Linked DNA regions of Tamandua tetradactyla. The protein of the gene in region 1 interacts with the protein of each later gene in a pairwise test. Links are inferred from orthologs where the notes say so. Each region holds a gene or a part of one and is shown in the gene's direction. Other genes may lie near its edges. The genes, in order: PSMA3, AURKB, ZNF385C and FBXO7.

The links.
Region 2: the proteins of PSMA3 (region 1) and AURKB interact in a two-hybrid assay, tested with the Homo sapiens proteins (2 studies listed by BioGRID and IntAct). The link is inferred for Tamandua tetradactyla from reciprocal best matches to the Homo sapiens genes PSMA3 and AURKB.
Region 3: the proteins of PSMA3 (region 1) and ZNF385C interact in a two-hybrid assay, tested with the Homo sapiens proteins (2 studies listed by BioGRID). The two-hybrid records come from large-scale screens. The link is inferred for Tamandua tetradactyla from reciprocal best matches to the Homo sapiens genes PSMA3 and ZNF385C.
Region 4: the proteins of PSMA3 (region 1) and FBXO7 interact in binary tests that used the Homo sapiens proteins (3 or more experiments, as listed by UniProt). The two-hybrid records come from large-scale screens. The link is inferred for Tamandua tetradactyla from reciprocal best matches to the Homo sapiens genes PSMA3 and FBXO7.

What each region holds. Positions count from the first base shown.
Region 1 is NC_135338.1:7,394,993-7,403,335, reverse strand, and holds the start of PSMA3 (proteasome subunit alpha type-3), read left to right. Parts: upstream 1-4,878; 5' UTR 4,879-5,022; coding exon 5,023-5,043; exon of another isoform or gene 5,044-5,123; intron 5,124-7,331; coding exon 7,332-7,414; intron 7,415-8,343. UniProt on the Homo sapiens protein: Component of the 20S core proteasome complex involved in the proteolytic degradation of most intracellular proteins. This complex plays numerous essential roles within the cell by associating with different regulatory particles.
Region 2 is NC_135332.1:62,040,368-62,048,144, reverse strand, and holds the start of AURKB (aurora kinase B), read left to right. Parts: upstream 1-4,247; 5' UTR 4,248-4,360; intron 4,361-4,380; exon of another isoform or gene 4,381-4,542; intron 4,543-4,632; 5' UTR 4,633-4,657; coding exon 4,658-4,705; intron 4,706-6,988; coding exon 6,989-7,112; intron 7,113-7,222; coding exon 7,223-7,271; intron 7,272-7,777. UniProt on the Homo sapiens protein: Serine/threonine-protein kinase component of the chromosomal passenger complex (CPC), a complex that acts as a key regulator of mitosis.
Region 3 is NC_135332.1:25,144,120-25,151,545, forward strand, and holds the start of ZNF385C (zinc finger protein 385C), read left to right. Parts: upstream 1-4,241; 5' UTR 4,242-4,300; intron 4,301-7,426. Other genes in the region: ATP-dependent RNA helicase DHX58, read left to right, coding at 1-75, 594-784, 1,611-1,707, 2,012-2,212.
Region 4 is NC_135333.1:24,545,868-24,554,193, forward strand, and holds the start of FBXO7 (F-box only protein 7), read left to right. Parts: upstream 1-4,845; 5' UTR 4,846-4,914; coding exon 4,915-5,210; exon of another isoform or gene 5,211-5,408; intron 5,409-5,444; exon of another isoform or gene 5,445-5,574; coding exon of another isoform or gene 5,575-5,611; intron 5,612-8,326. UniProt on the Homo sapiens protein: Substrate recognition component of a SCF (SKP1-CUL1-F-box protein) E3 ubiquitin-protein ligase complex which mediates the ubiquitination and subsequent proteasomal degradation of target proteins and plays a role in several biological processes such as cell cycle, cell proliferation, or maintenance of chromosome stability.

The sequences.
Region 1 (8,343 bases):
AAAACAAAAACAAAAACAAAAAAACTCCCTGAAGTCCAAACTCTAGAGGTTACTGTGTGGAGCACACGAGCTTACTTTCTTCCTTCAGTATGGTCTTGTCAATGAAAGCCAAATTGAGAAAGGGGGTTCTGATTCAATTAAAACAAGGCCTCTTTCGGGTGTCTGCCTGACAATCAAGAGACAGGCCCTTCAGGGTTGTTATTACCTTTCTGCTCAAATAAATAGAAGATGAAAAGAAAGGCTTATAGGGTCGCTGAGTCATGGTAAAGCATGTTAATTCTAAGAGGAAAAGAACAGAACTTGATTTTGACCACACTGACAACCTGAGACAACGGAATACCCTCCCAAACAAAAATAACTATTTATTTTGAAATACTGGTGAATCTTTCAGATAGGGAATTCTGCAAATTTCTGTATTTTAGTGGTGATGGTGGTGTTTCCATCCTACTGCTCAGAACTTCCAGTTAAAGCCTATTTGAAGGCTGGAACTAACAAAGAATTCTTAGGGATATTATCCCTAAAATATAGTATATAAAACCTAAACACACTGGGCATCACATCCCCGGAGAACCTAAAAAAAAAAAGAAAGAATAATGTCATAAAATATTATATGATTAGATTACTTAAAGCACACCTAGGATTTAAATAGAATATTTATATATTTTTAAGCTTAAAATGTTATTACAAATAGGGAAAACTGTGTGTTTGTGGGGTATGTGGGAACTCTGTACTTTCCACATGATTTTTCTGTAGACCTACAACTGTTCTAATACAATTAAAAAATATATTATTACAATTATACACAGTAGCAATTTTTTGTTGCAATTGAAAACTCTGGCTTACTTGTGATTATTTTATAAACTTGGCAGACAGCAAGCAACTTTACTGAAAAGTCAATTCAACTGTATTTCTTAGCACATTCAATATATTTATTAAGTATCTACCAAGTACAAGGGTATTCTGGTAAACAGAAGGATAACATAAGAGGCCCTGATAGCCTCAAAAAGCTTATCACCTCATAAGAAAAATATGTGTAACTATTCAGTGATTTTATTTGTACTGCCCTACTTCCAAAACTAATTTGGAGTAACTTCAAACAAACCAACAAACCCATACCCACATCTTTTCAGTCTTCTGGTGAATCATGCAAATATTAATCAACAGACCATACAATTCAATGCACTTTTTCCAAGGCACAAAATAAATGAACAATCAGCTCCAAACTAGGCAGATCATCTGTCAGTATGTTCAGAAAGAGCCCATATTCTTTTTTTTTAATTGACAAAAACAACATACACAGTATACAATCAATGGCTTACAATATCATCACAAAGTAGTATATTCATCACCATGATCATTTTTTAGAACATTTGCATCACTCCAGAAAAAGAAATAAAAGAAAATAGAAAAAACTCATACGTACCATATTCTTTACCCCTCCCTCTCATTGACCACCAGTATTTCCATCTACCCAATATATTTTAACTTTTGCTCCCCCTATTTTTTTTCTATACCCCTTACCACTCCCTTTCATTGATCACTAGTATTTCAATCTACTCAATTTATTTTAACATTTCTTTCCCCTATTATTTATTTATTTTTAATCCATGGTTTTTACTCAACTGTCCATACCATAGATAAGGAGCATGAGACACAAGGTTTTCACAATTACAGTCACACTGTGAAAAAGCTGTATCATTATACAATCATCTTCAAGAAACTTGGCTAGTGGAACACAGCTCTACAGTTTCAGGCACTTCCCTCTAGCCTCTCTAATGCACCTTAAACTAAAAAGGGGATATCTATAAAATGCGTAAGAATAACCTCCAGGATAACCTCTAGAACTCTGTTTGAAATCTCTCAGCCACTGACACTCATTTTATCTCATTTCTCTCTTCTCCCTTTTGGTCGAGAAGGTTTTCTCAATCCCTTGATGCTGAGTCCCACAAGAGCCCATATTCTTAATGATTAATGAATATAATCTAGGCACTAGGCACTCAAATAGCGCTTATAACACACAAGTAGTGAAGTTCATTAAAAGTTTCACTGGATTCCTAAACAACTTTGGCATACTTGCTGTCTACCTTCAGAGTGAATCCTCCTATTAGAAAGCTTTTAGCTCTCTTCAGGATTTTTTGGCCTGTCCTGGTCTAAATCATGAGCATTTAATGAAAGAACTGCAACTAGAATGCTTCAGTGTGGGTGAGGCAAAGTAAATGGCTGATTTTCCACGTAAATTCAATTCCTTTATTTATTCATTTGTTAATGAATAAAACCTACTGTGTAATTATGATGCTTCATTAGCAGGATGAAGCAGTTGAAATTGCACTTATTTCTTTACTCTCTATATCCAATTCTTCAGCAAGACTTAAATATCAGAAACCCACCCACAGACATCACTCTAGTCTAAATCATTCTCCATACCACTTGGGCATGACTGCAACAGTTCTAACTGGTTCCCTGCTGCTATTCTTCCACTTAGCTATCATTCCTTTTTTTATAATTTATTGTAAAATATAATATATACATATATACACACCATACATTTAAAAGTACATTTAGACAAGTAGTTACAGAACAAATTTCAAAGTATGGTATGAGTTACAGTTTCACAATTAGAGTCATTTCCTTCTAGCTGCTCCAAGACACTGGATATTAAAAATAAATATCAATGTAATGATTCAGTAGTCATCCTCATTTGTTGAATCCTATTTTCTCTGTTACAACTCCTCCTTTTCCTTTGATCCTTCTCCCAATGTTTAGGGATATTTGGGCAATGACCATTCTAACTTTATGTTTAAAAGGAGTGATAACATTATGTGGTAGGGGGATGCAACTAGTTGATATCTTTTGGAGAGACTGGTACCTCTACGTTTCAGGGCTTATCTGGCCTATGAATCATCTGAAGGTCTTAGGTTTCTTAGTCCCAACTAGATCAGCTTCGTTCTCTAAGTGAAGGCTGATCTATTTTTTTGGTTTCTTTAACAGTTGCTGTATGTAGCAATAGTGTCTTTTGGAGCTGTAGAACCCCAACTCTGTGTCTTAGGTGTCACACAGGTACCATCTTTTTTGAAATCTCAATGCGTTATTATTAGAATGGCAACATCTTTACAAATTGGTTTTCACTGACAGGAGCTATAGTCACCATCACCATTTTACCTTGACTTAGCTATCATTCTCTTTAAATAAGACATTATTTAATAATGTAAATCAGATCATACATTCTCCTGCCTAAAAACTGCTGATGACCTCACAGTAGATACAACAATAAATGTGGACACAATGATGGAATTAGAAAATTACTATCTGGCAGCGATCACAATAATAATTTCATCAAATAAGAATTTCAATGGATGCTATAGTTGGTGAAAGGCTGAGGAGTAACAGGATGTTGACTCACAAAGTATTTACTCACAAATATTTATGAATTACAAAGGGAAAAATAGAAACTTAATAGTAAAGAAAAGTTAAGGAAGTGATCAAAATTAACATCATCAGTAATGGAACAAATTGACATCAAGTACCTCCAAAAATAATGCTCTGAGATGAATGCAAGGTCACTTCTGTGGTATTCCTGCCAAAAATGCATTATCTGACTCTAATCATAAGAAAACATCAGACAAACCCAAATGGAGAAATATTCTACAAAATTGTCTGTAGTCTTCAAAAATGCCAATGCCATGAAACCCAAAGAAATTCTAGGAACTGTTTTCCAGATTAGAGTCTAGAGACATAGTAGCTAACACAATAGGATCTTGGGTTTTCTTTCGCTATGAAGGATGTTATTGGGAAAACTGCCAAAATCTGTATAAAGCCTGTAGGTTATAGTAGTGTTAATTTTCATAATTACACTGTGATTATTAAGGTGCTGTCTGTGGGTTTTTTGGTTTGTTTGTTTGGATTTTTGTTTTATTTTTTAAAATACACACTGAAGGATTTAGGGGTAAAAAATTGCTGATGTCTTCCCATTTCAGTCAGATTAAAATCCAGTACTACATGATATGGTCCCATGTCCGCTTCCTGCCACTCTACCCCCCTTAAACACTGTGCAGAGCCACACTGTTCCTACAACAAGCCAAGCTCTTTTCTGCCCTTCCTGTTATCTGTCCCACTGTTTTCTCAACCTAGGTTTCAGCTAAATTACCAACCACTTAGAAAGTCATTCCCTGAACACCAGGACTAAAGCTTCCTCCTCTACTCTATCAAAGTTCTCCTCTCGTCTCACAAAGTGCAATTATTTTGCCTATTTATTCATTATCGTCCCCTAACTCCATGAGGAATGCGGTGAGGTGGTGTATGTCCTGCTCACCGTCCCATCACCAGTGTCTAACAGAGTACTTTAAACATAATAGAGCTCAATAAATCTCTTGAGTTAGTCTTATTGTGAATTCTACTAAAGAGCGATATAGTCATAGAAAGGACACTAATGCTTTTGGAACATTCCAACCTAAGTTCAACGATGATACGCCTAAAATGCAATTTCATTCTGGAACCTGAGAGTGGTGTGGGTGAAGGAGATGCCTTCAAGAAACGAATGAGAACCAGGTCTTCAACGGTGGGGATACCTCTTCTCACTGCTTTTTTCTCCGCTTGCTCTAAGAGGACACGAACATTTCTCCTCTTTGCTACAAAAAAGAATAAACTAGCAAGAGAGAGCGAATATAAACGATAAATAATGATCCTTAGGAAGAGGACTGGAGCAGCTCTCCAACTACCTGACAGCTCCAAGAGGATCCACGACACTCAGGGCCCGAATTGAGGAACCCAGAACCTGTACCCTCCCAACCCCGCCTCCATTGCTTCTGCACATGCGCGCCGCCCCCAGCCTTCTCCACGGTCTTACTTTACCCACAATTCTCTTCGTTCCGTGGGCTAAAGACCTGGGACACGAGCCCCAGAAAACAGTGCTATTGGCTGAAAGTGCAGCCAATGAGAAAGGCTGTTATTAGTTTGCGCGGTGCTGCGGTGTAGGGGCAGCCCTTCAGGCCTGGAAGCCGTACGCGTCCCGGGGATCTCAACGCGATGAGCTCTATCGGCACCGGGGTGAGTTTCTCTCTCGAGGTGAAGTCTAGCCTAGGAATTCGCGTTGAGAGGAGCTCGGACGATCCTTCTGACGGACTCGGGTGCGTTGGGACTGCCGTCGGCCAAGCGAGCGGCTTCCCCGCGGTCTGGAGACCGGCAGCCTCTCCTTCGCGGTGTTCCAGGCCTGCGCGCGAGAGGAAGCTTTCTCAGCTGAGGGGTAGCGGACCCGGTGGCTCAGCAGCGAGGGTTTGGGGCAGGCTTGGATTGCTGAGTCACTGGCTTTAACCGCTTAGGGAAACCGAAAGTGGAAACGCGGGACCTGAAACGGGGTGGAGGGTTTGGCTGTCGTCCGCCTCGTGAGAACCACGGAGGCGGAGAGGCTTGGGCTTTGCCGAGTCCGGGGCGCCTGGATTGTGGAGACCGCGTTTGCGGTTCCTGGGACACTGCTGACCACGGCCTCCTCTCGTCCGCGAGTGTACTGACCCACCCAGCAGTAGGGGAGTCGCTGGGCGGGCCATCGTGACAGAGCTAGGAAGAAAAATGGTTGGGAAAGCTAAATCTTAGGAAGCCTTTTAGTTTTCCCGTCTCAGCTTTTCCTGTGCAAATTACTTTATAGAACTTCTGGGCATTAATACTGTAAATACTAAAGTGATTACGCAGGAACTTTAAACAATTCTGACTTTTAATAAATAGACTACTGAGGGTTTTGGAGTTGGACTTAATTGTTGTTAGCTTCTTCGGCTTACTGCTTTCCTTTGTCAAACCTGTTGTACATATGAAATCCTTTGCTTATTCCTTGTAGATACTTCATATAGAAATTAGTTTTTGTTTAAAAATATCGGAATAATGGGTTTCTTAGTTCCTCTATTCCAACTTATTCACAAGATTTTGGTACTCAGCATTAAAAGCAGATACTGGTGTTCAGAGTTTGTAATAGGCAACGTATGTTTGGAATGGTTTAATCCATTCCGTTGTGAAATGCCAGTTATGTCATACTTTTTGGATTAGTAGGTGCTCAGTAGTGCATCTTGTAGTAAATGGACCTTGCAACTACATTAAAATTACCTTCATTTATAAGTGTTTCATTATAAAAAGCCTTTAAAAATACCTGTTAATATTACCATATCTGGTCATTTAATGTTACAGTGGTAGAGTTAATAACATTCGCTTAATAGGAAACAGACTCAGAAAGTACCACTGTTGAATGCTTACCTCCTGTACTGACTTCTCCCCAAGAACTCAAGTAATGCATATTTGTCTGTCTACTTGTGACTTCTTTCCACTTGTTTAATAGGAATTTCAAACTCTCCATATCCAAAGTAATGCTCTGGCTTTTTCCCTTCCCTTCCCTTTTGCATCTTCAGCAGTCTTCAACTCAATGAATAGTCCAATTCCAATTATTACAGTGAAAAATATCTGTGAGCCGTCTATAATCCATTTTTTACTTTACTCCCAGAGCCAGTCCATTAGCAAGTTTTTTTTTTTTTTTGCTCTACTCACAAAAGGTAAATTAGATCATATCACACACACACCCCAATTACTACAATTGCATTTATAATAAAATATAAACTTCCTACTCCATCCTAAAAGACACAATATGATTTGGGCCCTTACCTGCATCTCTGATGTAGTCTACTGTTCTCTCCACTGTTTATTGTGCTCAAGACACAGTGAATCTTGTTTATCTTCCTTGACTATGTTAGGCCTATTTCTGTGTTAAGGTCTTTGTGCCAGATGCCAGAAAGCCTCTTCCTTGGCTAATTCTTGTCATTTACGTCTGAGGCAACCTAGATATAATTGCCCCAGTTAGGCCTTCCCTGACCTCTTAGTCTGTGGTAGTCCCTTAGTCTCACTAAACTCTGTTTTCCTCGTAGTACTTTTACTGGTTTACTGCTGTATCTGTAGCACCCAGATTCAATTTGAAAATGAAGGACTTCATGAATGACTAACATAATAGATGCTTATTAAATGTTTGATGCATGTTAAATGATTTGTCCTGGTCTTTCAGTTTGTTAGTGGCACAGCTGCACATCTGAATGTTCTGACTCCATTTCTTTTTCTATCAATATGAGTTTTGCGTTCTTTCTGAAAAAGTGCTGAGAGTTCACCTAGGACTTGTGTCCATTGCTTTCCAATAATCAAGAACTGTCCCATAGCCACTGTTGCTGTTCTGACATACTTCCCCTTCTTCAAAGCATAGTCTTAATTGAGATATGACAAATTCCTGATGCTTTAAGCTATTTAAAGTGAAAAAGTTGCATGGTTGTTACTGGCAAAGATAAATTTATTGTTACTTTTTTTATCCCTAGTATGACCTGTCAGCCTCTACATTCTCTCCTGATGGAAGAGTTTTTCAAGTTGAATATGCTATGAAGGCTGTGGAAAATAGTAGGTAAGAAATATTGTTTTACTTGAAGTAAGTATGTTTTAAACAGATTTCATTGAATGTCTCTTTTTATTTTCTACATTTTTGGTGATTAGGCTTCATTATGTTACTTTGTCACAAGCTGATGTGTGCCTCCAAATAGTTTCAGTGTTGTTAGTCACTTCCAGATCTTCTAGGTCAGATCTTTTCCCTGAGCCCCAGCCTGTATTTCCAGTCAGTTCTGGGATTGTCCATTTAGATATTTTGTCTTTGTTTTCTAGGGCTACTGTGATAAGTCCACACAGTGGGTTGGCATAAAGAGCAGGAATTCCTTCACAGTTTTGAGAGGCTAGAAGTCCAAAATAAAGGTCTTGACAGACTTCTTCTGGAGTCTTTACAATCCTGGTGCTGGCTCACTGCAGTCCTTGGGGCTCCTTGGTTTACATCTCTGCCTCTGTCAGATGACAGTCTGTTTCTTTGGTCTCCTGTGACTTTCTCTAACTGACTGCATTCATATTTCCTGTGCCTTAAAAGGACTCCAGTTTGTTAAGGCCCACTCTGATTCAGTTTGCCTCATCTAAATAGGATCTCCGAAGAGCCTTTTCAGAAATGAGTCCACAACGTAATGAATAATAACACCTTCAGAGGTCCTATGTACAAATGAATATCCACAGGAATGCAGATTAAGAATGGAACGTGTCTTTTGTGGGGGACAAAATTCAGTTCCCAATATCTACTGTATTTTAAATAAACTGTAAAAAATCAAACACATAATCATCCTTGCTAACCCAGTTTTCTCATTTAATTCTTGATTTACTTGGCCATTGGTTTTGTGACCTTGCAGTCTTATTTCCCCTGTTTTTGTTTATTATGTCCTGTTACTCAGTCATGTTTGTGTCAGCAGGGATTCTTTTTTACTTTTTATTTTTATTTTGAAATTATTTCATACTTGCAGG
Region 2 (7,777 bases), on another chromosome or scaffold:
CACCATGTGCCCTTCCAGATGAGAGAGAAACTCTGACTGTGTTCGCCATGTGCCTTCTCACTTGAGAGAGAAACCTGAACTCCATTGGCCTTCTTGAACCAAGGTATCTTTCCCTGGATGCCTTTGATTGGACATTTCTGTAGATTTGTTTTAACTGGAACATTTTCTCGGCCTTGGAATTGTAAACTAGCAACTTATTAAATTCCCCTTATTAAAAGCCATTCCATGGGTGGGCCATGGTGGCTCAGCAGGCAAGAATGCTTACCTGCCATACCAGAGGACCCGTGTTCGATTCCCAGTGTCTGCCCATGTAAAAAAATTTTTAAAAAGCCATTCCGTTTCTGGTATATTGCATTCCGACAGCTAGCAAACTTGAACAACATTGAATGTATATCTTCAATACATGTTGATTATATATACGTGGGCTTGTATTTTCTGTGTTTTCAAAATTTCATTTTCCAATGAGTTCATGTTCATTGTATTTTGTAAAACTTAATCATCTATGATAGATTGAATATAACCAGTCCTTCCCCACAAATACTTTGAGAAGCTCTTGATTTTATACTCAATTCACTAGCTTGGGCAAGCACCAGGAAGATCTAATAGTTTTTGTTTTGTTTTTATGAATAACGCAAAATCTGACACTGTGCTGGTCCATCAGATACCCTCAAAGGCTAAACATCTCCTGGCATAATGTGGAGGCAGAATTTAAAGACCCCAGGCTACAGGCATACTGTCTTGATCTTTCAAGTACATTTCCCCCATGCACTCTGACCTCTGACAGGATCCAGAAAGATGTCCCTTCACTAGGTCACGAGGAATAAAATGTACTTCAAGTGCTAGGATTTTAATAAGATTCTTCTTGGCCAGTCTCTTTATGCCAAGTAGAGGCACTGCAGTTGAAGCAGACTCCCTGATTTTGGGAAGCAGGGCTGGGCTTAACTCTAAGTGAAGACAATGTGCACTCCACAAACAAAACGGCTTTTCATAAATGGAAGCAGTGATTATGATCATCAGATGTCTGGGAGATGGCTCATCATGTGGAGATCTCTGACTTTTTTAATTAGTCAGAATGAAATATAAGGCAACTATGAGAAACCATTTCCACCACTAGCCTCTCACTGCCTGCACTGTGGCTGGTGGAAGGGATACTCACTTTCCCTGCGGCCTCCTTTGCATTAGTTGCGGGACAGAATTCTAGCCAAGGAGAAATCTGCTGGGTACTTCTATGCAGGCTTCAGTTTTCCCTAAGACAAATGGCAGCCTTCTTGCCACCAAAAGGGAAATGAGTATTGCAGAGAGGAGAATCCAGATCTCCAACACTGTTCGGTTCTCGAACCAGTTACCCACCGGGGTGGGTTGAATTGTGTACCCCATTTGGACCAGTTCTTGGTCGTGGTCCACATTTCGGATTCTGGTGGTGTGGACCCCCTATAAATAGGATATCTTGAAGATGTTACTTCCGTTAAGCTGTGGCCTGATTCAGGTTCGACTTTAATCTGGATGACTGGAGCCCTTTATAAGCAGAGTGAAATTCAGACAGAGAGAAGGAAAGCCACAGGAAGAAGCCAGAAGTCAACAAAGCCCAGAGAAGCCAGCCACAAGGAGATGCCACCATGTGCACTGCCACGTGATAGAAAAGCCAAAGAATCCCAAAGATCACTGTCCAGCCAGAAGCTCATAGCCTATAAAACTATGACCCGACAAATTCCTGTTGTTAAGCCAACCCATTGTACGGTATTTGTTTTAGCAGCTGAGAAATTGCCACACCCATTTCCTCTACATTTCATTTTATGTAAAGGAAAATAGGTTCCCATTGTTTATGCCTTTGATAAATGGGTTTTCTGTTACTTGCACCCAAAAGTATTATGAACTGATCCAGAAACCTATAAGGATTTATTTGATTAATATCTGGTTGAATCATATGAAATTTCCATTTTGTGTGTGGATTAAAAAAATAATGACTGGATATCATCAATTTCATCTCATCCAACCTAAACAATTCTACTATAGGTCTGTAGTTGTGTGTAAATTAGTATGCCTTTGACAGCAAAGAATAGAACTCATAGCCCAGAATGCATTACAGAAGGTGACGTATTCGTTCCCATAAGGAAAGTCTTGAAGTAGGCAGGCTGTGCTTGACAATGGCATAAAAGACTCAGGTTCTTCCCAGGCCTTGTTCTGACTTCTGCAGGGTCAAGCGTCAGTCTCTCTCATCCTTCAGGCACAGCACTAGCATCAGTGCAGGCTGTGTACTTCCTAGATCGCGTCCAGCAGGAGAAAAGGAACTTCTACTCAGCATTCTAAGTAAGAATTCTAAGACTAAGATTCCCATTAATTGGCCCATTTAGGTCACATGCTTTTCCCTGAACCAGAGAATTGAAGAAGTTGATTGTCTTAAATCAATCAGGGCCCAATCCACAAAATCCTAGGTGTGTTCAGGCAACGGGAATAGCTGGGAGACTGACTGCTGGCTGGATGGCCACAGTGTCCACTACAATAGCTCTCCATCAGGAAGGGACTTGTCACCAACAGAAACCAACATCTTGCTCACTCCAACAACAAGAGGATAACAGGTAGCTCACAGAATCAAAGGACGAGCTAACAATCACGCCTTGGGAAGCACAGAAACCAGGGCATTCTCAGGGATTTCGGTAACAAAAACCCAGTTTTTTGAGGGCACTGCCCAGACATGACTCAGTTTCAACTGCCTTTCATCTGTGCCTCACCCTGATTAAGAAGTAAACTCCCCACCTGGCAGCATGGGGCAGAAATCCCAGAATGAGCTGAGATTCAGCATCAAGGGATTGAGAAAACCTTCTTGACCAAAAGGGGGAAGAGTGAAATGAGACCAAGTGTCAATGGCTGAGAGATTCCAAACAGAGTCCAGAGGTTATTCTTAGTCTGGAGGTTATTCTTACGCATTAAGTAGATATCAACTTGTTATTCAAGATGTAATGGAGAGGCTGGAGGGAACTGCCTGAAAATGTAGAGCTGTGTTCCAGTAGCCATGTTTCTTGATGATGATTGTATAATGATATAGATTTCACAATGTGACTGTGGGATTGTGAAAACCTTGTGTCTGATGCTCCTTTTATCTACCTTGTCAACAGATGAGAGGAACATATGGGATAAAAATAAATAATAGGGGGAACAAATGTTAAAATAGATTTAGTTTGAAATGCTAGTGATCAATGAAAGGGATCAGTAAGGGGTATGGCCTGTAAATTTTTTTTTTTCTGTTTGTTATATTTTTCTGTGTCTTTTTACTTCTTTTTCTGAATTGATGCTAATGTTCTGGGAAATGATCATGATGATGAATATGCAACTATGTGATGATATTGTGAATTGCTGAGTGTATGTGTTGAGAATGTTTGTGTTTCTTGTAATTTTTTTAATTAATAAAAAATTAAAAAAAAAAAAAAAGAAGTAAACTCTCCAGGCAGAGATTCTGATTGGCTTGAATTGGTCACAGTATCATCTTTCAACCTAGGGGTCTGGACACTATGAGTAACAGTCTCATGGGGACTGCACAGAATGGGGACACCCGGGGGCTCCCTAAAGGGAAATTAGGGTGGTGCTACTAGAATGGGGAAATGATGCTGAACAGGCAATACTTAGAAACGTCCCCTGGTTATTTCAAAGGTGGTCCCAAATTTCTTTATTTAACAAAATAATAGAAGCTTGGAGTCTGAAGGAGCAGAGAATTAGAGAACATGGCAGGAAGGACAAAAAAAGAGTGGGTTCAAATGACGCAGCAGAAGTCAGGGGACCTGCCGAGAAATGTCGACCGGTGGAAAACTCCTGCGAGGGATGTGAGTGAAGGACTTTAAAGAAAAGGATAATAGTGACACAAAAATAAACACTTACGCAAACAACTTAATGGAATTAGAAAGCCCAGAAATAGACCACAAAATATACATAACTTAATATATCAAGGGTGGCATTTAAATTCTGTGAGGGGACTGGGCTGTTGAACAAACGGTGCTGGCACAACTGGCTAGCCATCTGGCAGAAAACAATGCTAGACCCTATCTCATATATACCCAAGAGTAAATTTCAGATACACTACAGGTTTAAATAAAAATTTATATTAAAAAGTATGAGAATACTTGTATGGAGAAGGAAAGGGAAACTTCCCGCGGCCGGAACCCTAGTGTGCCGCGGCTCGCTCCGCCCCTTCCATTGGGCCCCCGCGGCCTACGTCATGGGGCTATCAGCCAATGAGAACTGCGCATGGGCGGTGCCTTTAGCCAATAAGGTCAGGGCGGGAGATTTGAAAGGGCCACTGCGGGGGCGCTGCGGGGCAGCTTCAGTCGTTTGCGGGCGGCGGGGTGAGCAGCTGCGCGGCGGGCTGCAGGTGAGCTGGGCTCTTTCGCGGGCCCTGCGCCGGGACAGGGCAGGTGGTCCGGCAGGTGTGGGGGCCGTTGGACAGAGCCGCGCTCACTTCCTGGAGGCGAGGGGGGCCAGCACCAGGGCCGACGAGTCTAGGCGAGTGCCCGGATGCCCCCAGACTGCGGCCGACTTGCTGACCTGCCCCAGGCAAGCGCTTCCGATCGGAGATCAGACCCCTCCCTCTCTAGCTCCTTCTTTTTCTCCTTCTCATGGTTCTGTTTCCTTCCTCCTGCTCAGCTCTCCGCCCCCTTTCCCTCCAAGGATGACCCAGAAGGAGAACGCCCACCCCTGGCCCTACAGCCGGCAGACGGTAAGGCTCTTTCCTTTCTGTACTTCCAAACTGCAAGGCGAGAGTACCCCCTTAGAGAGTGTCTAATGCGCCCCAGTCCCGACTTTGGGGTTCTGCAGAGGGCGAGCCTTCAAGCATTTTCTTCCCGGATATGATCGATCGCATGGGCGCCCCCGGAATTTTTTATTTTTTATTAATTAAAAAAATAAAACAACAAACAAACGCAAACATTCTTAACTTTTGATCATTCCGTTCTACATATATAATCAATAAATCACAATATTATCACATCATGATCACTTCCTGGAACATTTGCATCTATTCAGAGAAAGAAATAAAAAGAAAACAGAAAAAAATTCATACATACCATAACCCTTACCCCTCCCTTTCATTGATCACTAGCATTTTAATCTAAATTTATTTTAACGTTTGTTCCCCCGATTATTTATTTTTATCCCATATGTTCTACTCTTCTGTTGACAAGGTAGATAAAAGGAGCATCAGACACAAGGTTTTCACGACACACATTCACATTGTGAAAGCTATATCATTACACACTCATCTTCAAGAAACATGACTACTGGAACACAGCTCTACATTTTCAGGCAGTTCCCTCCAGCCTCTCCATTACATCTTGAATAACAAGGTGATGTCTACTCAATGTGGAAGAATAACCTCCAGATAACCTCTTGACTCTGTTTGGAACCTCTCAACCATTGACACTATATTGTCTCATTTTGCTCTTTCCCCTTTTGGTTGAGAAGGTTTTCTCAATCCCTTGATGCTGGGTCTCTGCTCATTCTAGGATTTCTGTCCCATGTTGCCAGGAAGGTCCACACCCCTGGGAATCATGTCTCACGTAGACGGGGGAGGGTGGTGAGTTTGCTTGTTGTGTTGGCTGGAGAGAGAGGCCACATCTGAGCAACAAAAGAGGTTCTCTCGGGGATGACTTTTAGGCCTAATTTTAAGTAGGCTTGACCTATCCTTTGTGAGGTTAAGTTTCATATGAACAAACCCCAAGATTGGGGTGCCCCCGGAATTTGATGGCAGAATTGGGTCTGGTCCTTCACAGCCACATCCTAGGAAAGGCCTCTCAAGTGCTGCCAGCTTGACTCTGACCAGCCAGTGGCCCCCAGCCTGTGAGGACTTCTGCAGAGCTGGGCCTACATGTCACATGCAGGTGACATCTGGGGTTGAGCGTCAAGCCAAAGGCAGACCATGATTCCCTACCCTTGCCCTGAAAAAATATGTTAGGTGAGAACTAAAAATAGACTCTAGAAGGATTTAGATACAGTTACTGTTCAAAAGGGGTCCAGGACAAGTCTAAATTAATACTTTGGAATTTATTTTAATGACCCATGTAAGGAAGGGATCTAAATAGATTTCCCCCCGGATGGTAGTTGTCTCAATATCTTTCATTGAAAAGTCGACTCTGATTTGAAATGTCACCTTTATTATATGTATTAAATTCCCACATACATGTGGATCAATTTCTGGACTCTATTTTGCTCACCTTGCTTAATTAACTATTCTGTACTGATAATCGCCCTTTTGGAACAGGTTTTTAAGGGCACTGGGGCTTCCTTCCTCACTTGGCTGAAGAAAAAGGAAGGTGCCCTGCACAGACTCTGCTTTCTATTGGGGGCTTGGGCATCCTGGGGATTTTTCCTCTGCGTCACCCCCTTATGGATCCCTGAGTGAAGCTGTCATGGAGAAATAATAAGCCACTTCTGAATGAGAAACGATTGTCACTTCCACATCAGTCACTCCCCCCCAAAAGCTGTTTATAGTGCCCTGAGAGGTTGAAAATAGGAAGTGCTCGGTGGGCCACCAAAGAAGTCCTAAACCTTATGGACTGAGTTTTCCAAAGGACTGTTAGAATACCTCTGCTACAATTCCTTGAATTGTGGGTGTCCATTGGCCCAGCCCATTATCACCCCTGGGTTTGGGGGCACTGGGCGGTTGGGGGCTGATGTTATGGGAGGAGCTATAGGGGACAGCCTCATGCCCAAGAACGTGGTTGGAGCCAGAGCCAAAGAAGTATAATATAAGGTGTTGGGCTGAGTCCTTTGTCCCTTGTCTTAGGCCAACAGAGGCTGTTTACTATTCACCCATTTTTATGTGGGGCTGTGAGCAGAGCCTTGGGGCAGAGTAGTGGCACTGTGGTGTCAGTGTACCTCATTGAACTAAGGATGGGTGAGTGGGTGGCTTTGCAGCAAGTAGTACTGAAATGCTGCTTGCCACACATTCCAGCCGGGTCACTGGGACAAAAGCGCCTCAGAATTGTCAACTGTTCCTTCTCAGGCTCAGTCTGTCCTGAACACCCTGCCCCAGAGAGTCCTCCGCAAGGAGCCTGCCACCCCATCTGCTCTTGTCCTCATGAGCCGCTCCAGGGCCGTTCTAGAGCCTTCCAATGCCCAGCCCACAGGTAACCACGACGGGGATGAGGAATGGCCTGAGGGGACCAGAGCCTGTGGGGTGGGGACAGGGAGGACAGCCTGTCAAAGGTGAGCCTCAGTTTACTTGTTCTCTCCTTAGCTGGTCAGAAGATAATGGACAACAGCAGCGGGACACCCAGCTTCTTAATGTAAGTGCCCTGAGCCTTGGGGTGGGGGTGGGGGGCAGTGAAAAGGAAGGGAATGGGGAGGCAAAACCTCAGGACTGGGGGCCTAGAGATGGGGGCAGGAAATTCTGGTTCGTCCCTGTTCTAGTTTGCTAGCTGCCGGAATGCAACACACCAGAGACAGATTGGCTTTTAATAAAAGGGGATTTATTTTGTTGGTTCTTGAGAGGAAAGGCAGCTAACTTTCCACTGAGGTTCTTTCTTACGTGGAAGGCACAGGATGGTGTCTGCTGGTCTTCTCTCCAGGCCCCTGGGTTCCAACAACTTTCCCCAGGGTGACTTCTTTCTACATCTCCAAGGGCCTGGGCTGAGCTGTGAGTGCTGAGATGAGGAAAGCCGAGCTGCTTAAACTGTGCCTACATTACGTTCTCTCATTTAAGCACAAGCCAATTAAGTCAAACGTCACTCATTGCAGCAGACACGCCTCCTAGCCGACTGCAGATGTAATTAGCAACAGATGAGATTCACCT
Region 3 (7,426 bases), on another chromosome or scaffold:
GAGGTGCTGGAGAACCTGATGGAGCGGGCGGTGACCGCGGTGCAGAAGATGGACCACGCTGAGTACCAGGCCAAGGTCTGTGGGCTGCCCGTGCACCCTGCAGGGAAGGATGGGGCTGAGGAAGCCCTGCCGGGCAGGTATCTGTTTTCCCTGCTACCCCTTCCTCTTGAAACTAACTTGGCCCCACCTGGGGAAGATTTGAATCGAGGGGAGTGTAGAGACCAGGGATGGGGCTGCCTGGAGAGCCAATGGCTGGTCTCCCAGAGACCTTGGGAAGTGTCCCAGATTGGGCAAAAAATGTCTGTTCACTTGCCCTGAGGTGATCAGTTCAAAGAAAGCTTTGCATGAAGTTCTCCAAAGAGGGGGAAGAGATTCAGTGGCAATACCTATTTCTACCCTGCCCCTGAAATGTTTTTCTCCCCAGAGCTGCTTCTACAAACACCAGGGGCTGAGGGGTGGGGGGGACAAGAAAAGTCCCTTCTGGGTACAAACGTTCTGAGGTATTTGGGAGCCCTTTGTCCCCAGGCTAGGGGCATTCCTGGGGTCAGAGCTCCTGGGTCCCAGCCAAGCCTGGGTGTCTCCTTGCACCCCAGATCCGGGATCTGCAGCGGGCAGCCCTGGTCAAGAGAGCAGCCCGAGCCACCCTGCAGGAAAGCCGGCGGCAGCAGTTCCTGGCAGACCACGTGAAGCTCCTCTGCATCAGCTGCCTGATGGCCGTGGGCCACGGCAGTGACCTGCGGAAAGTGGAGGGCGCCCACCACGTCAGCGTGAATCCCAACTTCTCGTGAGAACCGGGGAAGAGGCAGTCGGGATGAGGGGCGGGTGGGCTGGGCTGGTGGGGACTGAGAATCCCTCCCATCTAGACAGTGCTCCGATGGGTTTTGGAGGTTGAAGAGCCGTTTAACATGTACAGATACTGCATTTTCACAAGTCCGATTAGATGGGTTTTAGCACCACTCTGCTCTATAGATGAGGAAATTGGGGCTCAGAGAGGCTAATTGTCTTGCCCAAACTCCCACAGCTGCAGTATGGTTGACCAAGAGCTAGAATTCAGGCTGTCAAGTGCTGAGGGGCCACAAGGGGTAGAACTACTTAATCCTACCTACTCTAAAGACACTAAGAGGGGCTGGCTATTCCTCATCACAAAACCTTTGTTTCCCATCCTTTCATTAATAAAATAACTATATATTAGATACCTACTGTGTGTCAAGCACTATGCTGAGGGTTTTCAGGCAGATTCATTTGAGACTGTAGCATTTCAACTAGATTTCAGAGAATGGGTTGGATTAGGCTCTGATGAGATGAGGAAAAGACGAGCAGAGGCAGGGGTGATGAAAGGCAGAGAGGGGTAATTCCAGTTGCCTTGAGTGGAAGGGACCACGAACAGTGAAAGCCAGAAGGAAAGCACACCAGTCCACTGAGGTCCTGAAGGTTAGGCCTGAGAGTTTACATTCCTCTAGTAGGCAATGCAGAGCCTCGGATAGATTTTGAGCAAGGGAATGTCAGGGCCAGGTTTACATTTGTAGAAGGTCTCACTCTGGCGGTTGGAGAAAAGATGGTGAGGCCTGAGAGTCCATGGGGGTTCTAAGGCCACCCTCCTTTCTCTCAAGGATCTACTACACCGTCTCCAAGAAGCCTGTGGTCATTAACAGAGTCTTCAAGGACTGGAGCCCTGGGGGCACCATCAGCTGCAGAAACTGTGGGGAGGTGAGTGCTTGAGCTGCTTCCCAGGCCCCAGAGTTCTCAGCTGTCAGTCTGAGGGAGGAGGGTGTCCAGCCCCTGCCCTCTGAGAGCCCTCACGAGGATGGAGGCGACAGTCCTATCCCAGAGGCCCCCAATCTGCAGGGAAAGGTCCAGCCCCTGTCTTAGGAGCACAGAGTGTGACAGGGGAGACAGCTCTCAGTCTGAGGTGGGAGACACAGTTTCCCTATTCATGGCACCCCAACTTGAAGACACATGCCCAGCCTGACGGCAGAGGCCCAGACCCCACGTGCCTCTGTCACACCCACAGGTCTGGGGTCTGCAGATGATCTACAAGTCGGTGAAGCTGCCAGCTCTCAAAGTCCGCAGTATGCTACTGGAGACCCCACAAGGGCGAGTCCAGGCCAAGAAGTGGTCCCGCGTGCCCTTCCCAGTACCTGACTTCAACTATATGCAACACTGTGCTGACCTGTCTGAACTTTCTGACCTGTCTGACCTGTTCCTGGACTGACAGCCTCACCCCTGCAGCACCCGTCTCAGGCAGCAGGGGGCGGTAGAGTCTGCAGCATCCACCACCTTCCCCTGAGCAAAGCCTGGGTCCAGACCTCTTCTGCTGTAATGCCCAAGTTGGGGTGTTGGCCTGTCTGGCCACCAGGGAGCCCCAGACAGCCAGGCTGGTTCCACGTCCCATACCAAGGAAGCAGTTGGAAGGCCATGGCTAAGCCCAGATCAGCCTCACATACGCATAGTCGCTTTCATAGGCGATGGATGGAGTTTGGGGGAAACTGAGTCAGGTGGCTCTCCATCCTGTATTAGGAATTACAACAGCTTCTCTTGGCCTTTCATCAGCCCTTCTCTGCCAAAGCCACTTCCAATTTTTGAGGCCCCTCATAAATTAAAAACAAAGAAGAGAAAAAATGAGATAGAAAATGTGTGATATTTAAAAAACAGCTAGATCATGGTATAATTAACATAAACTGCACATATTTATCTGGTGAGTTTTAACATATGTATATTCCTCTACAGGTAAGGTAATGAACATGGCCATCACCCTCGCAGTTTCCTAGCGTCCCTACCTCCTGCCCCTCCAGATCCAATGACCCGCTTTGGTATACTTGTCATGTTCAAGTTTAACCACTCTCTTTATGGCTGTCTGTGTAACCTTATTTGGAGAGACACTAGCATTCTAAGTTTGAGGCTCATACCCCTCCCCTCTGTAATGGGCTCCAGTCACAAAGCCTCCCTTTCTCTGTTTTCCCCTAATGCCCAGGTTATCTCCCCTGGGTTGAGAAGGGCTAAGATCCAGGACTTGAGGGGTGGGCTCAGTTAGACATGGAAGTGGGTATGGGGGTTGCAAAGGCCTAAATTTTCTGTTCTCATTTTAACAAGAAAAAAAAAAAAAGGCAAGATCTAGGTTGACTCTTTAGGGAAAGGGCTATTTCTGTAGTAAGAGAGGCCCAGCAGGCAGGAGTCACCTTCAGGAGGAACGGAGGGGGCTAGAGCAGAGATTTGAGAGCAAGATGGTAGTCCTTCCTGCCATCTAACCTCCTTCCCTCCTGCTGCATCCATGTTTCTGCCTCAGGGCAGATGGGAAACAATACACCTTCCATTCCCCTCAGCATCTTCTTCCCTCATTCGGTCTCTTATCTGAGAGCTGAAATTCCAGTTACAGTCTGTCCCGATCCCCTCCTCTCAGAGATGTGTACCCCTCCTTCCCAGGGCCCTTCTTCCTTCTAATCTCTGGGTGTCCCTTGGCCCTGGCTTTGGCAGCTGCCCTCCTCCCCCATCTCATCCCATCTCTGCCTCCGGGGGCCCCTTCTGCTGCCCGTCTGCTCCCCACTTTGCTTTCAGTTATTATCCCCCTTGCCAGCAACGTGCCTTCTATGGGTCAATAAAATTAGCGACGGGGGTGGAGGGAGGGGGGCAGGGGCTCAGGGGTGCTAAGCTCAGTGGCCTTGAATGTGTCTGGATGCACGGAGTCCGGACGCCTGTCATTCCAGGGCTAAATAGTGACAGCTGAGGGACCTGAGCTGGCACTGGGAGCTGGGAGGGTGGGGGTTCAGAGAGAAAGACAAGGATACAGATGACCTGGGCCCAACAGCCCCTCAGCGGCCCAAGCCCCCCCCCCCCCCCGCCAACCACTGGACAGCAGACCCCGCCTTTGAGCTGTTTGTCCTATCTCCCACCCGCCCTGCCAGGCTCAGAGAGCTTTCTTGAAAAGGGAGCTCAACGGTAAGGGTGAGCGCAGGCAAGGTGGGGTGTCTGGGCGTTCATCTCCAGGTGAGGGGTCTACATAGGGAGCCACTGGCTGCAGGGCACCTGGGCAGGCTGCCTGAAGGAGGAGATTTCATAACGCCCTCCGAAGGGTCCTGACTTCCCAGCCCTCAGCAAAACCGTGGCTCGCCAGCTCGCCCCCTCCCCACCTGAATCAGCCGGCCCACCCGGCCCCGCGAGACTCAGGGAGGGGCTCGGCCGGCCGCGGCGCCCCCGCCCCGGCCCCGCCCCCGAGTCTGGCCCCGCCCCCGCCAGGCTGCCGGCGGGGCGCTCCCGAGCGCGGCGAGAGCAGGTGGCCGTGGCGGGCTCCGTCTCTGCCCCGCAGGTAAGAGAGCGATGCGGGCTGGCTCGCGCTGAGGACCTCGAGGGCAGCGCGGGAACGCAAGGCAGCCCTTCCACCTGCCCCTTCCCCTCGCCTCAGAACTGGGGACCCCACCGGACAGTGAGGACAGCCCTATCCTGGCTCTGCGTACCGACGCTGGGCATGTAGCGGGTGCGGCTAAACTCTGGGGAAGTTTAGAGAGCCGCAGCTTGCTGTTGCTGACGCTAGGGTGGGCTCCGAGGGTGGGAAAAGACAGAGCGGAGCATTAGGGATGTGGCTTTCCAGAAAAAAGCAGGTTGGGAGCAGTGACTATGGGGACTCTGGAGTAAGGGGGAACTCAGTGAGTCCTTGTGGGGTGCCTCATCCACGCGCAGCATCCTCTCCTGGTGGGAAGTGATGGGACAACCCACATGACTTCTGTGCCGTGCACAAATGAGGTAAGAGCCACTGCACAGCTGAACTGGGGCCTGGGCTTGCAGAGGAGCCCCGGATTTCTGCATCGTTTATACCTGGGAACAGGTGTGGGTGGGTGAGGGCGGTGGGGGAACCAGGGGTTATCCAGATGGCCTGAGAGTCCTGAGAGCCTCCAGACTAAGTGTTTTTGCTGTGCCGGTGCTCCAGAGCCCGGGAGAAGGGGTCACAGATGTATTCACACCCATGCTGGGCCTACTATTCACAGGGGTTGTATTTGCACCTTCGGCGTTGGAACTTGCCTCCCAGGACCTCAAGGAAGCCTTCCTGAAAGAAAAGGGCTTGAGCTTCCCGCTCAGGTGTGTTGCTTAGAGCTCTGACCCGCAAAGTAGCAGCAGCCTCTGGGCCTTGGAGTCGGGTTGTGGTAGAGCAGTGGACCCTGCATTGTAGAATGGAGAGAGGACAGAATGCTGCTATCTGGAGCCAGCAGGACCCCAGGGACTTTCCAGAAACCCTCACAAGCCTTTGGGACGGGCAAAGGTGACATTTGTTGGGGGCGGGGGGGCTCTCATCTTTGTCCAGACTCTTCATTCCATTGTCTCCCCTCATCACACATGCCATCATTGTTAGGAAGTTCTTTCTTTTATCTGACCTTCATCCCTTCTGCTCCTGTGCCAGCTTCTCATTTCTGAGAGGCAAAGTGCTATCGTGGAAAGAGTGTGGGCTTTGGAGTCAGATAGACCCGAGTTCTGTCTCCTCTACCTACCGTGTGATCTTGGGCAAGTTACTTAACCTCTTTGGGTTTGCTGCCTCACCTGTAAAATGGGGATATTAACAGAATCCACCTCATAGAGTGGCTGCAAGGACTAAATGAGAATATGCACGTAGAGCGCTTAGCACAGTGCCTGGCATCTGGCAAGGGGTCAACCAGTATAAGTGTCCCCTTGTGTGTAGGACAGCAAAGCTGATCTGCGGGGGTGGGGGTGGGATGGGGTGGGAGGGTGTAAGTTTATTTTCAAACTTGGCCAGAGAGAGTGAAACCTTTCACCACTAACCCTGCCACCACCAGCCCCTGCTGGTCCCTGGATCCAGCTTATGTGTCTGGGCTGTCCAGGGCCCCTCACCTCCTCATCTCTTAGTCACCCTGTTTGTCTCACACTTTGTCTCAGGGGTGGCGGGAGAGGCCCGGCCAGGGCAGGGACCTGTGACAGCCGGAGCCCACTTGGGGCTATGCCTCCATAGAACAAGCCCTAGCTTGAAGACCTAACCTGGAAAAAAAAAAAAAAAGAAAAGAAAAAAGTCCTCCCTGCGCTCCCAACCTCCAGAGATCCAGAACTTGAGATCAAGTCACACTAAAAATTTCCAGGAAGATAAATAATACAAGTAACTGAAAATCCTGTTTGGGGATTGTCCAAGCTGTCCTCCAATGGAAAGGCAGCTTCAGACCCTGGCCTGAGCCCTGGAGGCCACCAGTAGGGCTGGGCCAGTACCACCCTTAAACCTGAGTGGGAAGGGGGGAGTGCCTCTGCCCTGAAGCCTGGCCTTTCTTCAGCCATTTCTCTCCCTATGGGGTGAGAAGTCAGCAGGGCCAACGGGATGAGCCTACCAGGAGCCCGTGTGTCCCCTTCAATTGCACACTCCTGATACCTGACTCTGGAAGTCTCTGTGCAGATGGTCACCAGCTTGCTCCCAGGCCTGTGCAAGCCCCTTCTCTGGATCCAGCCTCCCCATGGCAGATTGCCCATGAGTGTGGATACCCCTAAGCCTGGGGAGTGGGGGTGGCTAAGGGGGCAGCTGTTTGCCAGGTGTGTGGATGGATCTAGGATGCATTGGCAGGGGGTTCATACACATGCCTGGGAACCCCTGAAGTTGCAGAAAAGAGCTAGTAGTAGGAAGGGGGGTGGTGGCCGGAGGCCAGGGGTGAGAGAGGATCTGTCTTTTCAGCTTCATTCTAACGCATGACTCCTAGGTGTCTGAGAAATCTAAATTTGAACCTGGTCTTCCAGGTTGTTCTGAAGGTATATTTGTCAAGGGAGGAAGTTGGAACATATTTTATTTAACAATTTCTTAGCTTGATTTATAACTTTTAAATATTTAGTAGACACACATATGTGGGCCTCCACTTGTACTCTTGCCCAGGCCCTGCAAACTTTAGGAGTAGGTTTGACTGGGTCAGTGACTGAAACTGCCATTTGGTGTATTCCCTCCCTGGTCTCCTTGCCCCCCAGTACAGCAGTTCTCCTATAAAACCAGGCTTAGGACATGCTCACCGGAAGCACGAAGGAGTTTCAAGGTGAAATGAAAACTGTCAGCTGTTGCCAACAAGCAGTCACCCCCTTGGGCCTCCTGACCTCATTCTCCACCCCAAAATTGGAACAACTTTTTAAAATGTCCTGTGATGCTTGAGAGGGGAGGGATGAGGAGGAGAGAGGTTGCTCGTCTCCTGAATGTAGTATGGATACAGGTACTCATTGGACCCAGGGAGCAAGGAGAGGGCTAAAGGGGGCTGCAGCAGCAGGAGAGATGGAAGGCAGACTAGGAGAGGATCAGGGCTGGGCCTCACCTTGGCTCCAGCCGCACTTCTCAGAGGGCGCTGTACCCGAAGCGAGGAGGGGGGCCTCCCCTGAGTTTGGATTTTGGACTTTGGATGGGGAAGAGTGTGGGGGCCAGCTGGCCAGGCAATGGGGGTCGTCCCCAGCAGGAATGAAGGGCACATTG
Region 4 (8,326 bases), on another chromosome or scaffold:
TTAGTCTACAAGTCTTTCATCTCCTTGGTTAAATTGCCTATCATCTTCTGAATAGCCTTCTTATACTTGGAGAAATTCCAACATTATTAGCTCCACTTCTCCAAGGAAGGAGTTAAGATCTTAATTCCAAGTATCTGTAGTAGCTAGGACTTAGACATGGAACCTGGGCTCCCTCAAACAGATAAAACTGTATAAATCATTGATTCGAAAGTAATGACTGTGAGGAAACAGGCTCTGCTGGGAGTTTGGCTCTTTATTGGTGCAGGAGGCTGCCAAGGTGCACTGTATTTAATGGTAGTATGGTGGTGGCAGCAACAATGCCAGCTGATGAGACAGTTTTCTCATCAGGCCGTTTCTTCATTGTGGTTCTGAGCTTCATTCTTGGAAGCTTAACCTGGTGTTACTTCTCCAGCCCTCCCAAGAATTCCCTGAGCTATCCAGTATCCTTTTAATTTCCTCTTTTCCTGCTTAATCCAACTGAGTCAGCTTTTATTGGTCACCCTAATGGATAAAGACTCCTAACGGATAAAGACTTTCCAGTGGCCGAGCATACATTCTGAGATGTCTCACAAATTCCTTGCTTAGCCTAAACCTCTTCCTTATTTAGGCTGCGCCCACTTCTGTCCTTTACTCCGGACACACAGAGTCACCCTGATCCTGACAGGGATCCTCAATGCCATATTCCTTCCAATAAAAATTCACCTAGAACACTTCTCCCATACCCACCTTCTCAGAAAGGCTTGATTCATTTGTTTCAGTGGCAGCCTCTGAGCAGGACAGGGGAGTAGTACATGAGATGGCTGCATGTTTCCAGACTACCCAAGCCTAGTCCTATTGCCTCCATTCATGCCTATGAGCTCCTTCACTTCCTTCTAGAGAATCCCCTGTTGCTCACAGTAGTCATTTCTACTGCTCACTGCTAAGGAGCTCTACTGGCACAGAAACCTTCTATATACTCCAATCCTCAGACTGTGCTTGTGTCTATCATAAACAAGACATTTTTTAGGTTCCACTTCAAGAGTTGATTCACTCAAGTGTAAGTCCTGCAAGGGCAGGAACATGTCTTTTTTTTGTCTTTGAGTCTGCAGCTGTGACCATCTGGCACAGAGTAGGTGAATAATAGGAACTTACTTTGGTGAGTGAATAGCAAATTGTGGACAAGTGCTGCCATCTACAGGGAAAACTTCTGACTCTTACAATGTTTTGGAGGCTATCCAGTAAAGGTGAATTTTCTCCCTCCTCGAAGTTATCATCATCATCATCGTTGCTGTCATTAGATCCTCTGTGGTGGCCCGCCTCCAAGATGGTCCCCAAATGATCCCTGTCTATGATGTATTCATGCCTTTGGACTGTCCTTCCCACACTGAAGGGTTGGTCTGTGTGACCAATAGAATGTGACAGAATGATGGTATGTAACTTCTAAGGTCTATATACTCCAACCCTCAGATCATAAAAGACATTGTGGCTTCTGCCTCAGACCACCAGGGATGAGGGAGACCAGCTGCCACGTCATCAGTATACTCAAACAGCCCTGTGGAGAGGTTCATGCATCGAGAAATGAGATTTCCTGCCAACAGTCACGTTAGTGAAACATCTTGGAAGCAGATCTCCAGCCTGAGCTGACATTTCTCACGACTACAGCCCTGGTCTGCATTTTGGCTGCAATCTCATTAGAGAACTTGAGCTAGAACCACTTAGCTAAGCCACCCCTAAATTCCTGATCCATGGAAACTGTGAGATAATGTTGTAAGCTGTTAAATTTGGGGGTGACTGTTACACAGCAATAGATTACTAATATACCCTCTAACACAGATTGTTACCACTAATCAAGGCTCTTTTTTTTTCTCTAACAAGAATTTGTTGGCTCATGGTTTCAGAGCTGCTTGATCAAGTTTGCACAATGTTTTAATCTTCTTCCTATTTATACATGCATTCCTTAGCTGAATTTGACTTCCAGATAAACACCTTAGGTCTGAATCTTTTTATTCCCCTAATTAGATATGCACCCTTTGCCACTCCCTTAGCTGGACGCTTGTTTCTTTACATCAGTCAAAATGAGGACAATATATTTTGCTTAATTCACAGGAACAGTATGAAGACCAAAAGAAAAATGTATCTGCATTTTCTCAAAAACTATAAAAGCTTATATGAAATAGGAGAGAGCTCTAATAATTTACCTGATGCCTTGCCAGGTCTGCTTGTGGGGAATTGTGGGTGTACAATTATGCCTGTATGTAGGGGAAGAGTGGCCCTTTACTAAGATATTTCAGGCTCATACTATTATCACCATCCCTTTACTAATGAACTTTCCAAGAACTTGGAAAGCTGAGTTTCCATTGTACTGGAAAGTCATTTCCCCTCTCAGATGTCCAGGTTAAAAAAAAAATCCTTCAAGAAATTTTATATGCATACATAAGTAAATATATGTTTACATATACCCATAAAAACATGAATGCAATATTATACAATTGTTCTGCAATTTTTTATGTTAAGAAAACTGCAGAATCATTGTATATTGGATCTTACATATATTATCTAATATATATTGGCTTACATTATTGTTTTATTAGCTTCTTAGATTTCATTGTATACATGTACTACAATTCAACCAATTTTCTGTATATGAACTTTTCTTTAGAGGAACAGGCTATACCATGTAACATTTATAGAAGGCATTTAGCATAGTGGTTAGAAATTTCAGTTCTATTTTGAGACAGGCAATGACAATATTGCTAGCTGGGTGTCCTTAAGCTATCCAAGCTTAAGTTGGTTATCCAACTGAAAAGCCAATCAAGAGCGGCCATCTCCCAGAGCCATGAAGACTAAATGAAATTATGCATGCAATGTATCCGGCATAGAACTTGGCACACAGGAAGCTTTCAAGAAACCCTTTATTAGTGATCCTTGAAAAATTGCAACCCAGCCTATTAATGCTGCTGGGTGTTTTACTGTTGCGGTTGTTAGCAACTGAGACCAGTAAGAGATTGTGATTTCATAGACTGAGGAAGTCTATAGATTGAAAATATTTTGAGCGTTTTATCACAGTGTACAGTACTATTGGTACTGCTTTTTTCTCCTTCACATCCTGAACCTCTGAAGGTGGGCCCTGCATCTGGGAAATTGAGGGAGTGAGATTCCCAGATTTCAAACTGTGCTGGGGCAGAGTGCTTGGAAAGTAAGGGGGCGTATCTCAGTCCATCCTCTCTTATTGAGTTTATCTGTTGAATATATTAAGCTTTCATACAAGCTTTAGTTTTATTAACTTCCAAGGCAAAAAGAGTTTGAAAAACCATTTGGGTTGATTCATTAATTCTTTCCTTCATTCACCATGCATTTCTTGAGCAATTTCCAAGCCCAGATGACTTCAGATGTCTATAATCAAATGGGGGCATATAATCCAACAATTACAACAGTGTCCACCTTATCCCATGAGTTTTTTTTCTTTTTCAAGCAGTTTTATTGAGACATAATCATACACTATACAAATCAATCCACAGTATACAATCAGTGGTTCAGAATATCATCGAGTAATTGTGCATTCATCACAATAAATTTTAGAAAAAAAATCTCATACCCCTGATATCCCACTATTATTGACCCTTATGAAATATGAAAGAATATTTTTATACTTTTAATTATTAATCACAGACGTCATCCACCACAGGGTTCACTGTGTATACGTCCTATGTTTTATCCTCCAGCTGCAATTTTTTTATTTGTCTTTGCACTATTTATCATGCACATCTTATAATAGTGAATAATAATTTTACCAATTTACCCTATTCCTTTTTGTGTCTGTACAGCATTTTATCATAGATATATCATATTTAGCCATTTCCCTTTGGTAATTCATTTCCAGTTAGTTTTTTCGTTTTATTTTTTTCTTTCTTAATTAGAGAGGAAAGTTACCCCATGAATCTTAAGCGCTGTAATATCGAACTTCTTACAGCTACCCTGAATATGCCTGCTATTTGGCTTTTTTTTTTTTGCATCTTTTTGTATACACCATTGCTTGCAGACTCTTGGAAAGTTCCCATTTATACTTTAAAATACAATTTAAATACACTTGCTAACGCCTTAAGTTCCAGTTAACCACTTCTGTATCTTGTACTTACTTCCACTATTGCATTTGTTATATGCACTATAACATTTGTTTTCTATTTGGTGAGAGCAGGGACCTGCCGTAAACTCTTCTGCCTTCCCAACTGTGGGTGCAGGGTCAGAAGGACATTATACAACAGGGCCTACACAGTATTTATTTTTAAGATATTCATTTATGGTATAACATATGCTAAGGTCAACACTAGGCGGTAAACAAAACAAACTCGGTCCTCGATCCACAAAACTCATGTTCTTGTGTGGGAAAACGCCAATACAGAAATTAGCAAATTAAAAGAGAATTCCAGATGATAAATTCTAAGGAAATAAACAGCGCGATACAGCAGTTACTGGGGAGACCAAAAATGACAGGGCTTTGACATAACGTTATACCATTTAATTCTTCAGCGCTGCGGACCCACAAGAGGAGGTCGCTACCTGGTTTCGCTATACGGCTTTTCGGAAGGTGCCACTGCAACTGGGCGTGGAAGACCTGATAGTTCACCACGCAGGAAAGGAGGTAAAAACTGGTACACACGTCCTTGGGAAGTGGCACGTTACAATGTCCACAGCATCATTTTCAGCACTGTTTTTCTAGGCACTTCTGAAAGGAATCGAAAAAAGCCACGTAAACTAACAAGCCTAGATCCCAGCGCCTTGTCGCAATCTGGGCGCTTGCGCAGTGTGCTCCTCCAGGGTTGCGCCCTTGCGCGCCGAGTCACCGATCGGGAGTCCCGGAACCGCGGAGCTGGGCGCTGGCCGCTGGCCGCTGGCCGCCAGCTGCCGGCTCTCGGGGTTGTCTCCAGGGGGCGCCCTATGGAGAGGCGGGGCGTCCGCCCTTGCGGAGTTTTCTTTCCGTTACGCCTCAGCACCCCCACAGCTCCGGAAGTCACCGTCCGGGGCCGCTGCGCGGGACGGGAGCTGTTCGGCCCGTCTGACGCCACCATCAGCGCCTTCGAGTTGAGCCCCACCAGGCCTTCGGCCGCCGCCATGAGGCTGCGGGTCCGGCTTCAGAGGCGGACGTGGCCGCTGGAGATCCCGGATGCAGAGCCGACGCTGGGGCAGCTGCGCGCGCACCTAAGCCAGGCCCTGCTGCCCACTTTGGGGTACAGGTACGCGGGGGCGAGTCGGGGGCGGAGGGCCGGCTGCGATACGGGTGTGTACTGCGGGGAAAGTGTACTTGGGTATTTTTTGGGGGGAGAGTCCGCGCGCGTTGCGCTCTAGACCGCCCGTGCTCCTTGCGGTTGCTGGGCGCCGCTGAGTGCTCCTCTAAGGTGCTCAGCCGTCAGGGGCGGTCACGTTAGTGTCCGCTCTCCGGGGGCGTGGTCGTGCTTAGGCGCATCTGGGTCTGTGACGCGCCGAGGCCGGGGCAAGTTCGCCGAGGAAGGGCCCGGGACCAGGGCGGGAGTTCGCTAGAGGAGTAGTGAGCGGGACGCCGGGGCTACTGCGGGCGGGGGGTCCCGGCTCCAGGAGCTCATGGCTCAGCCTGCCGGCGGCTCGGATCCCCTCCAGGGTAAGGAAATCGATTCCGTCTTTAAAGTAAACGAAGCCATGGCTAGGATAGAATGGAAAATGCACACGATGTTTGCATTTAAAGTTGGAAATTCTGAGTTTGGGTTGGGTTAACCTGTCCATACTATAGGGCGTTTAAATTCAGTTTCTTCAGCTGTTGGGTGTTTCAGTGATAAACTTTTGGGAAGAATACTAGTAGAAGTCAAAAATCTGCCCTCTATCATAATTCACCTGTTATCTGTACTGCAGCTGTAAAAGCCGTAATAATTATTTTTAAGAGTAGGTTGAGCATCTGTGTGGCAGCTACGTCGGTGAGCATTTTCACTTATCCACTGCAGTTTTAGAAAGTTCAGCGTGCAAGCTTGTTACAAATCGTTTAATTTTCCTGGGGGAGATTTTGCTTGTTTGCTAAAACAGAGGTGAACTTTGGCCTTAGGATGACCCTGCAGAGTTTCAGTTTTCCAACAGTGAAGTAGAGAGATTTTGGTACTAATTTATAGGGTTGCTATTTTGTTTTCAGAGGTATTTTTTTTGGCAATCATCTGGTAATAGAGGGACAAAGTAAGGAGGCTTCTTTTCGAATATTGAGCCGGTGAATTTGAAATTTATGAGTTTGCTAAACATTTTAAAAAAATATTACCTGGGGGCTTTTTAGGTGAATTATTCAAAAAAAAAAAAGAAAACTTTTATGTTAATTTCATTGAAGCGGCTTATTTCCTAAGACTTTTTTAAGCTTCTAGTTTATTTTTAGGGAATTCATTAAAGTTAGGCCCTATTATGAACTCCTCACTCTTTCATTCTTCAGATTAAGACATTATTAGATTAAAAGTAAGCCTGGTTTTCTCCAAAGTAAAAAAAATGAGGAGGTATGGTAATAACTTTGAGCATTATGGTAAGTGACGTGTCTGTTGTTATTTCTTGGTATTAAACCTAAGTATTTTGGTTCCTCCTGTCATTACCATAAATTTTCACAATGAACTTTTCTTTTTAAGGTATTTTCATAAGTATGTATAGATATTTCTTTTAAGTAGGTAGGGCAATCTTGAAAGGATGTGAAATTCAATATGAATCTACCCGAGAGCCTAAGTTAGTTTCTCTTTCAGGTTTGTTTTCACAATTGAGGCTGGTTGACAGGAAACAGTTTAAACTGCAACTTGTGAAAGTAAATTCATTTTTTGGAAAGTATGTTCATTTTATAATAAACGAGCAGTGTTAAAGCATGTACAAATGGCAGGTGTTATTTTTTAAAAAGTGTCTTCACAGAGCAAAGGGATCCGAAATTGTCATAAAATATCTTGAAAAAGTCTGGAGTTTCTAGTTTCATTGCCTGTTTAACTTTTGAAATGTTAAACTAAAATTATTTTTTGTTCCTGTCTATGCACCATTTCAGAAAACAGAATCATTTTTAACCCTCTCCCTGGAAAACTACATATTACTTCAGGAATAGCTTTTTCTTTTTTCAAGGGGGCAGGGAAGGCTGGCATATTTCTTAAGTGCTTTACCTTTTCTATGAATAGAGACTAGATGTTTGAACATGCATTGTACTAGATACTGTTAAAAAACTTTTGTTGTGACAAATGATCCATAAACACGAACAGTTCATGAGGTGTTTTTCTTTTCTCTGCCAAAGTTGGGATGTTGTTTTTCTGGGCAGCTGGCAGATTCTGAACATTTTGTTTATCAAAGCATTTTGAAAACAGCAGCAGAGCTGCTTGTTTTCTGAGAAGCAGTGGTAGTTTCTACTCACACTGCTAGTAAATAATAAGCTTAGTAAGTTGCTAACTTTTTGCTAATAACTAGTAAACTTCTAGTACTTTCTCTACAAAATACACTTTTAATTGGTAAGAAGAAGTATGTTTGTGTGTGGAAGAAAAATGAATTATTTTGAGCACTTTTGAAAATATGCTGCATTGTAAGAAAGAAAAAACAGAATAGGATTTTCAAAGAACTTCATCCTTTGTTAACCTCTCAAAAACTTAATGAAAGAGGTATTATTGGCTATAACAGTCTTATAAAATGTTTTACACTTTTTGTTAATTATCACCTCTGTATGATGAGACGATGGTTATACTCACAAGGTCAGATAATCGTGATGCACAGAGGATGGAGAGTTTGTTGCTTCAGGCTTATTTGAGCTCTTAGGTTATTTAGCAGTGGGTTTTTGAATTTGTACTGTCTTCCATATGAAAGACATCATAACTCATCATCAGTAGAAAAGAGGACCTGTACCTGCCATCAGTAGTGGGGGTGATTTTGTACCCAGTCATCTGCACACACCTGTTTTGATTTAAGAATATTCACTTAGCTCATAGGTCTCGTATTTTGAAATGAAAGTATGCTGGGTGCACGGAAGATTCAGTGGTAGAATGCTTTCTTCCCATGTGGGAGACGCGGGTTTGATTTCTGGACCATGCACCCCCCCCCCCCCCAAAAAAAAGAAAGTATGCTAACTGCCCTGTAAGGTCACTGAAAAGGCATCCCAGATTTCATTCTCATCAAGATCTTCCCAATTGGCTTTTGATGGTTACATTTATAACATGAAAACTTGAAAAACACCTACTATTTGCCAAGTGCTGAAAATAACAGTGTTCAGTTAGATAAGCTTCTGATTTTATGGAACATTTTCTAGTGGTGAAATAGAAAAGACAGACAACAAACATGTGTTTTCATATAGTGGTATTACAATAAAACTAAAACAGGCGAATGGAATGGTGAT